Caenorhabditis elegans: one gene and its partner. The protein of the gene in region 2 interacts with the protein of the main gene of each other region in a pairwise test. Each region holds a gene or a part of one and is shown on either strand. Other genes may lie near its edges.

Region 1 (6,302 bases), on a different chromosome or scaffold from region 2:
CTGGGCGAGTTGAATTGAGTTGAATTCATTCGATTCTTGAAGGAAATCGAGGATTTGTTGGGGTAGGTTCTCCGTTGATCGGACATCAGTTTCAGCAGTCATTCTAAAAAAAATAATTATGTAAACTTGAGTAAAATGTGAAGTTAAAACTAAGAAACAGTAAGAAATCAATGAAAGAAGCTAGATATGGATATCTTACTCAAAAGATGATAAATGCTGAAACCAGCGTTCCAAATGCTCTCGCCCTTTCAATTCTTTTTCTGTTATCGAAGCTCTCGCAGAGAAATCGGCGGCCGATGGTTGCACGAACCTTCAATTTTTACTTTTTAGAACAAACCTCTAAATACTAGTTTTACAAGCACATCACACGTTTAATACAATACTCATGCAATTTACAAAAATTCACCCTTCAATGTATGGTTGATCTTGTAGAATTTGGTTGAGACGATCCGGATCGGTCATCCGAAAAAAAACTGAATTTGAAATATTGAAATTTTGCGTGACATGAGATCAGGCATTACGAATAAGAAAATGGGTATATTTCATTTAAAATGTGGAGTTTTGTATTGTGTCTGTTAATTTGTTTCGAATATTCGTATCAGTGGCGTGAATATGTGAATAATCGAGTTAGAAATTACTGGAAAACTATGATTTTCAGAAAGCTTTCGAGTGTTATCACATTTCGGAGCCAGTGGAAAATATTCTCAATGGACAATTCAATCTAGAACGACAAAAATGCTATGGCACTGAAGGTTCTTCGCTATTCAATGTGAGAGTTTTAACGATTCATAATCAAATTAACTTGTAACAGGCTTGCAAGACAGATATAATTGATGGAATTGTCTACAGTGGATGTATGAACACTACACACTGGCGAACAAATTTTCTTTGCTCTCCTACGTCCAACAAACGAGAATTTATTAACAATTTGGTAACGCCTCAGGCATTTAATTTCATATTCCTGTGATTTCAGGACACAAATGGAATTTTTATATTCGATGAAATAAAATCGTGTTGTTGTCGAGACACTCTATGCAATAATGCGAACTACTTGAAAGTCATGGTAAAAACTAAAAAAGGGAGGACTCTTTAGGTTTCGACTAAATTTTCAGAAAAACAAGTACTCTTCGACAAAATCAATTTTTTTGATCAATTAGTTACTGATGGTCTGATTGTGTTCAGCTTTTTTGCAGTTGTATTGTTTGTCCTTATGATAGAGATAATTTGCAGAGAGGTATGAATTTAAATGGAGCTTTTTACAATAAAACAAAAGTTTTTCAGCCAATTATTGGAAGAATAGACACGCGGCAGTATATAATGGAAGCAAAGTAACTTAAAAATCATTTTATATTTGAAAAAGAATATGGAAATTTCAGGAAAACTATAAGAGACGTTCCTGAAAATGAAGAAATGAAATAATGTCACTCGTAAACCTACACCGCTCTTTCTCTTCCATGCGAGACCTGTCAAGCGTCCGATTCCTACGCGCCTTTAAGAGTGATGTCCGAAAACATTCGCTCTCCGTTTTTTCATCGATTCTTCTTGGTTTCACACGTTTTATTGCAATGCAAAATGTTTTATATTATATTTGTTTTTGAATAAATCATTCTAGAACTACAAAATGTGTTAAATATAACTTTAAAATATCTGAAAATTTATAGAAAATTTCAAGTGAACATGCTACCTTTTGTGTTCAACGCTGATGATGACGGGAAAAGGGTTCAAAATGAGGAGGTAAAAAAATAAATTAAACGTGGAGTATAACTATGTTTCTATACTGGTTGCCATCAAATTCAAATTTCCAGGGTAACTATGATCCTACCGACCATCAGCGCCAAATGGAAGACTATTACAAACAATACGAAGAACAGAGGGTTTGTGATCTGAGAATACGACTTGCAGAAAAATTCAAACTTTTAAAATTAATGTTAATTTTGTTCTAAAGCAGGTTGCCAATTCGTTTCACAACACCACTGGAAGACCTGATTTGGTTGCAATGCAAGCACGTCTAGCAGAAACCGAACAAGCGATCCACCGGCTGAATGAAGAAAAAAAGTAAGGAGCTTTATCGACGACTGAACGCTAAAATGTCTTTATTATATTTAATCAGATCCGTTTTTTTACATATTTTTCGAATTATCTGACAAGTTATTAATTATTGATTAAATTAAAAATAATCCAGACAACCAATCTTCAACCAGCCGCCTCCCGTCATTCAAACTCGGCCAGTTTTTCCGGATTTCAGACAACCCCCACCAGGATTTCCTATAATGACGACACCGGCAACGCAACCAGAAATTTCTATACCTCGTTCTGGAGAAAATAAAAGCTCTCGGTCACCTTCGTGGGCGCGTGAAGCAAGACGTTCTCGTTCCAGGAGCCGCGATAGACGCGGAGGTAGAAGCAGAAGCAGATCACCATCTAGACGTCGAACTAGTCGTGATCGCCGAGATGACCGCAGCAGCCGTCGTAGAAGAGGTCCTATTATCAACCAACTGAGCTGAAATTTGGCTGAATTTATACTCCTATTTAGTTCTGGAGATTAATTCTCGATGAGATTGTAGATCGAAGTCACTCGCGAAGCCGTTCACCACCTTCGTCTGCAAATGGTTCCTCTCATTGGTCGTCGTCAAACCGCCACTCCAGACGACGACGCTCCAGAAGCTACAGCAGAGAAAGGGTAGGTGAAAAAATAGAGAAAGGGTAGTCATTTATGGTGTTTACTTGTGAGTATGGTTTTGTCTATGGGCATATGAAATCTGTTCTCCAAAATATTCTAAATTCTTGAAAATTGCGCTCTTAAGATTTCGTAATTTGTTGATATCCGTGAGGTTTGACAAGCTTGATAAAAATTGTTTGTCGAAAAATTTGAATTTATCCATTTGAACACTTTTAAATTTCAGGTCGATGGCGATGTTACCTTCTTTCAAAAGGTTTTCAATCAGTTACACAATATGATACCTCAAATTAAAACTAGTAAAATATTGAAGTAATTAAGTTTTTTTTCAGGATAGAAACTCGCGTCGCGATGATCGCCGCAGCAATCTTTCAAATAATGATCGATATTCGGATTGGAATCCTGGAGTTCCATCAAATAAACTCGCAATTTTGAATATGCCAAATGATGTGGACAACACGAAGGTATAGTTTTCTCGGCTGAAATTTCAGAAAAAAAAAAAGATTTTTCAGATAACACTTTCATTGGGAAAATGTGGATACCTTCCTCAAGACGTGCGCACCATGACAAAATTCGATAAAAATACAAAACAAATTCGTACTTTTGCTTTTGTTGAGTTCTCTAATCGAGAAACTGCAGAACAGTGGATGACGGATTACGAGGTACAAAACGGTTTTCAGTTGAATTATATGCAAAATCCGCTTTTCAGGGATGGTTGACTCTGGATGACGGAAGAACTCTGGCTGTAGAATATGCGAAGGGAGATCCTGCTGCTGGATCCGGAAACAAAGGGGATGATTGGATTTGTGCTCATGTACGCGAGAAAATTGAGCTATTATCAAAATATGAACAAATTTCAGTGCTCTATGAACAATTTTGTAAAGCGTCAAACCTGCTTCAAGTGTGAAATTTCAAAGGATCAGTCAATGGAGCTTGAGAAACTCGGAGCACATATGGTCGGAATGACACCTTGCGACAGTCCGTGAAATTTCTTTAGTTGTCATACACATTCAAATTGATTTTTCAGCTCTTCTAATTCGTGGTCTTCCTGATGGTATCAATAATAGTCTTATTTTTGATAGTCTCGGTGCTCTGGTTTGTCTCAGTTCGATTAGCATGATCAAATTGTCGGAATCCAAAAGGTTTGCGTACTTGCAAATGAAAAGTGCGGATGAAGCAAAAATGTTACTCAATTTGACATATAAATCGCCCATTCGAATTAAGGATAAAGATGGTATGTTTTTTGCTGATTTCAAGATTTTACCATATTTTTTCAGTTCAAGTTTCCTGGTGTCGTGATTCAATGTCAAAACTCATTCAACAACAAATGACCATGCTAACCGCGGGACCTGGAAAGAATTCTGTGGCTACCGGAAGTCTGGCTCAAGGAAACAGTGAGTTTGATGGGAGAGAATATATTAAATTTTATAATTTTTTAGTGACTGGAGCTGAAATTGCTGCAGCTGCCCTTTCTAAAGCAAATGCTGTGCGCCAAGCTAGTCAACAAGTTGGTCAAATTGTAAGTTACATTTCTAATAGAAAATTCTAAAACTCTATTTCAGATGACTGGATTGCCTGCACCTGCTGCTAATATGATTCCTCCAAACTTCAGTGTTCCACCACCAAATTTGTCTGTTCCACCTCCAATGCAAGCCACTCAACCGGAACATCAAAATGGAGTCATTGGAATGACCCAGACTCCGAAAGGACTTTTGCCAAGATACTGTATGGAAAAGCTCAAATATTAATTTTCAATTATTATTAACATTTCAGTACCACCCAATCCGCTTACATTCGCTCATGATCCGAATCTTGGGTATTACGTAGATCCAATCACAAAATTCTGTTACGATTCAGCAACTGGTTATTATTTCAATAATGCAACTTCACAATGGTGTAATTGGGATCTTACTCATCATACTTATTTCCCAGTTGAAACCCCAGCTGTAATCAATTCAGCTGACCCCGAAGAGGAAAAGATGAAGAAAAACGAAGAAGGGCCAAAAACAGCTCAGGATTTAGTGAAAGATATGGCAAAATGGGCTAAGAGACAAGAAAAAGACAAAAAGAAAGTTCAAATTTCTATAAAAGGAAAAGAGACGAAAGGAATTGAATTGAAAAATGTATTTTCTAATGGTAATGGCCTTTATTTTAACTATTTTCTTTTTATCAATAACATTTTCAGAGAAACAGAAAAGAATAGCACAGACTGCAGCACTTTTTGATGATGACGAAGAAGAGGATCAAGAGGAAGAAGTTCGGGGTCGTCGTTCTGAAGAACCGTCTACTTCATCCTCATTTTCATCTGTTCCACTTGCTCCTCGGAAATCCACTCTTCAAGATGTTAGAGATGCTATGGAAAGAGCACTTTACGATGAAACGAAGAAAACATGTATGCTCTGCAAACGAGCATTCTCTGATGTTGAAGTACTTCGGAAACATGTTGAAAAAAGTGATTTGCATAGAGTATGTTTAAAAGTTATTTCCTTGTTCTTAGACAGGAATCTTAGTTAAAGTTTTTTTAGAACAATTTGGAAGCGAAGCGAGCCGAATGGGGACGAGAAACAGCTGCTAAATTACAAGAAGAAGAAGAAGATGCTTCAGCTCCAGATCTCCCTAAGATCGTTTACAGGGACAGAGCCAAAGAACGTCGTCGTCAGTTCGGGATTGATTCCACTGGTTATGCATTCGATGTGATGGGTGGGCCGCCAGGACCCACATCGGTGAGACATGAAGAGACCATCCGAAAAGTTAGTGAGGAAGCTTCGAAGCGCCCATTAGACGAATCAAACATCGGAAATAGACTGCTGAAAAGTATGGGCTGGAAAGAAGGACAAGGAGTTGGAAAGCATGCACAAGGTAAATCTACATTGCTTACAAGCTTGATATTATGGTTTTTCTCAGGTATTGTTAACCCGATTGAAGCTGAACGATTTGTTCAAGGAGCAGGTTTGGGTGCTGCTGGATCCAAAATGAGACATGGTGCAGAAGCGAGTCACAAAGAGAAGACGCGGCAAGCACTCTACAGTCGTTATCACGACGCTTAAGTTCCTAAAGTTTATGTTTCGCCTTCAGTGTACTATTTGTTTTCCGTTAAATAAAATAAAATCTAATAGCCTACGAATTAGTTTTTCTTCACAATAAGAACATTTTTTCAACAACTGGATGAACTCATCCACTCTAATACGACAAAGAGACCACTAATCAAATCAGGTTTAACACCATTAGACGATTCATCCAGGAATGACATCAAGTCTCGATATATCTGGAAATTGATCAGCTATGTAAAAAGAACACATTTTGGCAGATTAAATATTTATTATCCACCACAACAATAACAATTAAACACAGGGAATATTTACTTTCCCTTGTTCTTTCCTTGATCCTCAACGGTGACGTTTGGAAGGTTGAATCCCTGAAATGACGAGGATTTTATTTTAAATATTTTCCGTCCGGTAACGCCTCGACATACCGAACTGAAACACTCGAACGAGCGTTTTGGATAGGGAAAGCCTGAAAACCGGCAAAGCAGCTTTCAGGACTCCCATAACTGAATCTTAATTTTTTGAAAACTTACAGCGGCCTTGAGCATGTCGCTGGTATCAGTGTCAACCTTGATGGAGGT
Region 2 (4,870 bases):
GACCGAGGGGTAGACAAGATGAGAGAGTACTGATTCTTTCTTCTTTTGCTCATCCGGAGGGGGGGGGGGGGCAATCCACGTCGAAGGTCGAGAAGTTCACGTAGTTGGTGTAAAGCGTTCTCCTTTATTGATTGGCGCGTTTATCGAGAATCTTGGTAGTTGTGTCGGGGTGACGCGTCGTCCTGATGATGTGTGAGGTGTGTCGAGCCTTGTTGTTAGTCTTTTATAGTTTAATTATAGTTAAGTCGAGTAAATGAGAGTTCATTGCTCTCCGTATTCGCGACATGTATGGCAATATCTTCAAATTTGTTTCTCCTGAAATGTGTGTTTTTAATGTTCAAAGTTTGACCATTTAATATCTTTCTGTCCTGAACTTTTACATTATGAAAATACCAACACAAACAATTTGATCGGCACACTTCTGTGGCAGAGCTCTTTACCGTGATCTGTGGAATGTGTGATAAGCCCCTTTTCCGGTGGTGCGACGTTTTTTAAAATCTCTGTAATTGATAACTTTTGCACTTCAAACTTATCATGCGAGGGTTTATTTTTTAATAGATCAATCGACCTGGAAACAGAAATATAAACTTTTTTTTTGAAAAGTTCAGAAAGGAAATATTTATATTTTTCAAAACGTGAAAACAAAACTTTCATAGTCTTCAGGTTATTTAATATTCCATTAAAAGTTGAACTCTCCAACGTGTTACCCTAATCCAAATCTTCCCACATCTCCTATCCCCACAATGACTTCAGCTTCCCATCGTTGTTTTCAAATAGTCTTTGATACAGCAGAAAACTACTTTAATCTACAAGAAATTCATTTCGATACCACATTTCATTTGCCATCTGGAACATATTATACTTGAATGCATAAAGTTGAAACTTAAAACAAACGTACCTCTCTCCATTCTTCGTTTCCTCCCCATGATAACTTAAACCAGTATCCATTTTTGGTATATCTACCAATCCATGGATCCCCTGCATTTTTTGGGAATCCTTTGTTCACAGCAGATTTCATCGGGTACGGAAACCCAGTTATTGGATTCATTCTATCGATTAAAGAATCAATAGATTCAAGATCAGATTCGGAAGGCCACATATTTATAAAAATATAGTAGAAAATATTCTACAAGTTGAATAGAAATCAATGAAATGGCACTCCAAGAATTGAACCTAATTAAATTTAATTAGCTAGGAATGGGGTGGAAACTGTTTTAGATAGAAGGCAATTCAAACTAACAGTAGGAAACAACAATATGAAGATAGAAGGCGACTCGTCATCGAGAATTTAGTATACATATGCATTCCGTATTAAAATGGAAATCAGTTTTCAAAATGTATCACATATATTTTAAAAGTTCACAACAACATTAGAACCAGCCAATATTCTATCTGTATTTGGTTTTGTGTTCCTTTCAAGGTTTTTGCAACATAAAGATGTGATGCTTCTGATGCTTTGTATTGTATATTGTTACGTTGTAGTACTATTATTGAGTAGTATTCGAGAGCGGATTCTAATGCACCTGACAGCTTTGAATGAGGAGGAGGGGAGTAAATGTGGGAGTCAAGAATTGGTGAGACATACGTTTTAAACAAGTTAACATAGTATTTAGTGGAACCACAGGGGAAGGATTTTAAGATCTGTTTTGCCCTTGTAAGAAGTGCAAGGAAAGAAGTTCTATTGATATGCGATTAGAACGACAATCTATCATCGGTGATAAGCCCGAGGTCTCTAACAGAGGAACTGGAGATGATGGGTAGGATGTCAATATTGAAATTATGCCTAGGATTTTGTGTTCCTATGTGGAGTAGTGACGTTTTGGTGGGAGCAAGCGGTAACTGATTTTTTAATTTTTCACTCTTTTCTAATGACACGATTCATATGGAATCGTATTGAAATAAATAAATAAATAAATTTGATGTACAGTGCCGGCCAAGGTGTTTAATACTCTTAGGTTTTTTTTGGAAAATGCTATAGGCTGAAATTCCATGGGTTCGCCTTTGACCAAAATATGTCAAGTTGTTCGTTAAAAAGAGTTTGTTCAATTTTCTAATATTTATGTTGCAAAAACCTTGAAAGGAACACAAAACCAAATACAGATAGAATATTGGCTGGTTCTAATGTTGTTGTGAACTTTTAAAATATATGTGATACATTTTGAAAACTGATTTCCATTTTAATACGGAATGCATATGTATACTAAATTCTCGATGACGAGTCGCCTTCTATCTTCATATTGTTGTTTCCTACTGTTAGTTTGAATTGCCTTCTATCTAATACAGTTTCCACCCCATTCCTAGCTAATTAAATTTAATTAGGTTCAATTCTTGGAGTGTCATTTCATTGATTTCTATTCAACTTGTAGAATATTTTCTACTATATTTTTATAAATATGTGGCCTTCCGAATCTGATCTTGAATCTATTGATTCTTTAATCGATAGAATGAATCCAATAACTGGGTTTCCGTACCCGATGAAATCTGCTGTGAACAAAGGATTCCCAAAAAATGCAGGGGATCCATGGATTGGTAGATATACCAAAAATGGATACTGGTTTAAGTTATCATGGGGAGGAAACGAAGAATGGAGAGAGGTACGTTTGTTTTAAGTTTCAACTTTATGCATTCAAGTATAATATGTTCCAGATGGCAAATGAAATGTGGTATCGAAATGAATTTCTTGTAGATTCAAGTAGTTTTCTGCTGTATCAAAGACTATTTGAAAACAACGATGGGAAGCTCAAACTTCTCACCGCAAAAAACATTCGTCAGTAAACTTATGAAAATTATTAAAATGTTCTCAATTACTTTCTTGTAGGTGGTGAAGTTTTGGGTCTCGTTTTACTTTCTGAAAGTAGTTCATATCGATTCTCTACTATTGGTCCAATATTTGTACAAGAAGACTTTCGTCATATTGGAATTGGATCAATCCTGATGGAAGAAATACTCAAAAACACAGATAATATTGTTTTCAACGCGAGTAAGTCATTCTACATAATACACTCTGAAAGTAATCTTGAATTGTTAAAGTTTCGTATCTTCTACCAACTGTCAACAAATTCAATTTGCAACAAAGGACCATGAGAAAATTAGGAAGAGTTCGAGTGAAGAACTCAAGCGGATTTGCTAATTTAAAGGTTTTTAAATTCTGATGGTAAACTACATACATTACAAATGCTTACAGGACAAAAAATCTGGAATATCTCTTAATTTCGGTTCAGACAACACTGAAGATCAATGGGAAAGGATCAGAGAATTTGGAGAAGAATGTACAAATGAAAGAAGAAATTGGAAAGCATTCTCCGAAAAAAGCGATGAAAATTGTCAAATTGTCGCCGCATTTGATGAGGTTTGTGGGTCATTGCTACATTGCCGGATGTTAAATAAAATAATTTTGCATGCAATATTTTGAAAATTCGTATTTTTGGAAACAATATTTGCAAAACAATTATATCTGTGAAATTTTTAGAACACAGGAAGCTGCGTCGGAATTTCAATTCTTCGTGAAATTCAAAATGAAGATGGCCACATCCCTGACTTATTAATTGCTCCACTTCACGCAAAGTCTACAGCAATTGCTGAAATATTACTACAAAAATCATTGAAAAAGCATTATGTAAGTTTTCAATCATTTCAAGACTTCAAACTGCAATGATTACTTACTGACAATAATTTTTTCCAGAATCCCGAAGACGACTATGACTTTGATGTGGACCATCTTGCAATTTATCGTCGTTCTGTTAACTTTTTTATCTTTTCAAATTGTGAATCATTAATGTTTCCGTTACTGAAAAAATTAACTGGAAATGATGGAAGCATGGTCAAAGATCGAATTTATTTTCAAACTTGTTCCAATTTTCAGTTACCGGCAATTAATCATGATATGATTTTTGCAGCTTCTGATCCAACTGTTTTTCTATGTTAAATGGTGTAATTCCATTGTTGACACCACTAAACATTCAAAAAAAAATTCTGTTTCACCTTTCCCATAAGTACCAACAATGTATTGTTACGATAGTATGTGAAGTTTTGGTGTTACACAATATTCAAATGTTTTCTGATTCATTATTTGTTAGTATAGCCAAGTATTAAACTCTCCCATTCGAATTTTAAAATATTTCTGATCAATTTCTTCAAAAAACGAAAATTCGGAAAAATATATATATACTGTTTCAACTTTTCAATAAGTGCCAACAGTTTTAGATTTTTTTAGTGTGTCAGTTTTATTGTGGAATTTTTATTTGCATATAATTATATCAATGTATTGAACATTTCTGCAGATACAAAGCTGTGAAGTTACAAAGCTATCCACCATAAAATGCATTACTTGTTTAAATTATTTTTCTCTTTTCAGAAAACAGCTAACTTTGATACTATTTTCTTGAAAGGAACTCAATTGCTGTTTGAATAAACATTTCAGAATAATCACTGAAATAAATTTATTTCACGATATTTCACGAAAAATTAAAAGAAAAAAGAGAATTAAAGCCTCGTCGAAACTGTGAATGTATTTTTTGTGTTTGATTGAATTTAATGATAAAATGATGATGTTCGGATGACAAAGTGAAACAAAAACGCAGATAAAAAGAATACTGGTGGATTGTGGAAGTTTTGAAAAATTGAATTTTGACAAATGAAATAAAAAGAAACCCGAGACCGAAAGTTGAACTTTAGAAATTCTAATCCTCCTTATCCTCGTCGACAACCATGAATAGCTTTTGAATGAAAACAGTTGAGCTGTCTGAAATACGGTACAATTGACAAGTTGAAAATGAAGAAAAAAAACATTTGTTGAAAATTACTTACCAATGAATTCATTGAACCATTTTGGCTTGTTTTTCCATCCGATGAAAATTCCGTAGACGGGGAC

The links.
Region 1: the proteins of F27C8.2 (region 2) and rbm-5 interact in a two-hybrid assay, tested with the Caenorhabditis elegans proteins (one large-scale study listed by BioGRID).

The regions. Positions count from the first base shown.
Region 1 is NC_003279.8:6,214,114-6,220,415, forward strand, and holds rbm-5 (RNA-binding protein 5), read left to right. Parts: upstream 1-1,659; 5' UTR 1,660-1,677; coding exon 1,678-1,734; intron 1,735-1,805; coding exon 1,806-1,874; intron 1,875-1,945; coding exon 1,946-2,055; intron 2,056-2,182; coding exon of another isoform or gene 2,183-2,245; coding exon 2,246-2,478; coding exon of another isoform or gene 2,479-2,504; exon of another isoform or gene 2,505-2,564; coding exon 2,565-2,680; exon of another isoform or gene 2,681-3,009; coding exon 3,010-3,141; intron 3,142-3,189; coding exon 3,190-3,339; intron 3,340-3,386; coding exon 3,387-3,491; intron 3,492-3,537; coding exon 3,538-3,655; intron 3,656-3,704; coding exon 3,705-3,911; intron 3,912-3,954; coding exon 3,955-4,071; intron 4,072-4,116; coding exon 4,117-4,196; intron 4,197-4,239; coding exon 4,240-4,402; intron 4,403-4,450; coding exon 4,451-4,813; intron 4,814-4,862; coding exon 4,863-5,143; intron 5,144-5,202; coding exon 5,203-5,536; intron 5,537-5,581; coding exon 5,582-5,724; 3' UTR 5,725-5,799; downstream 5,800-6,302. Other genes in the region: fars-1 (phenylalanine--tRNA ligase), read right to left, coding at 1-103, 200-310, 407-462; T08B2.15 (Activin_recp domain-containing protein), read left to right, coding at 552-614, 659-769, 812-931, 974-1,063, 1,113-1,157; rps-17 (Small ribosomal subunit protein eS17), read right to left, coding at 6,036-6,092, 6,255-6,302.
Region 2 is NC_003282.8:9,594,755-9,599,624, forward strand, and holds F27C8.2 (N-acetyltransferase domain-containing protein), read left to right. Parts: upstream 1-1,601; 5' UTR 1,602-2,393; coding exon 2,394-2,594; intron 2,595-2,646; coding exon 2,647-2,767; intron 2,768-2,818; coding exon 2,819-2,980; intron 2,981-3,030; coding exon 3,031-3,137; intron 3,138-3,184; coding exon 3,185-3,349; intron 3,350-3,469; coding exon 3,470-3,616; intron 3,617-3,682; coding exon 3,683-3,925; 3' UTR 3,926-4,333; downstream 4,334-4,870. Other genes in the region: F27C8.3 (T2SSG domain-containing protein), read right to left, coding at 802-846, 899-1,099; aat-1 (Large neutral amino acids transporter small subunit 1), read right to left, coding at 4,680-4,741, 4,807-4,870.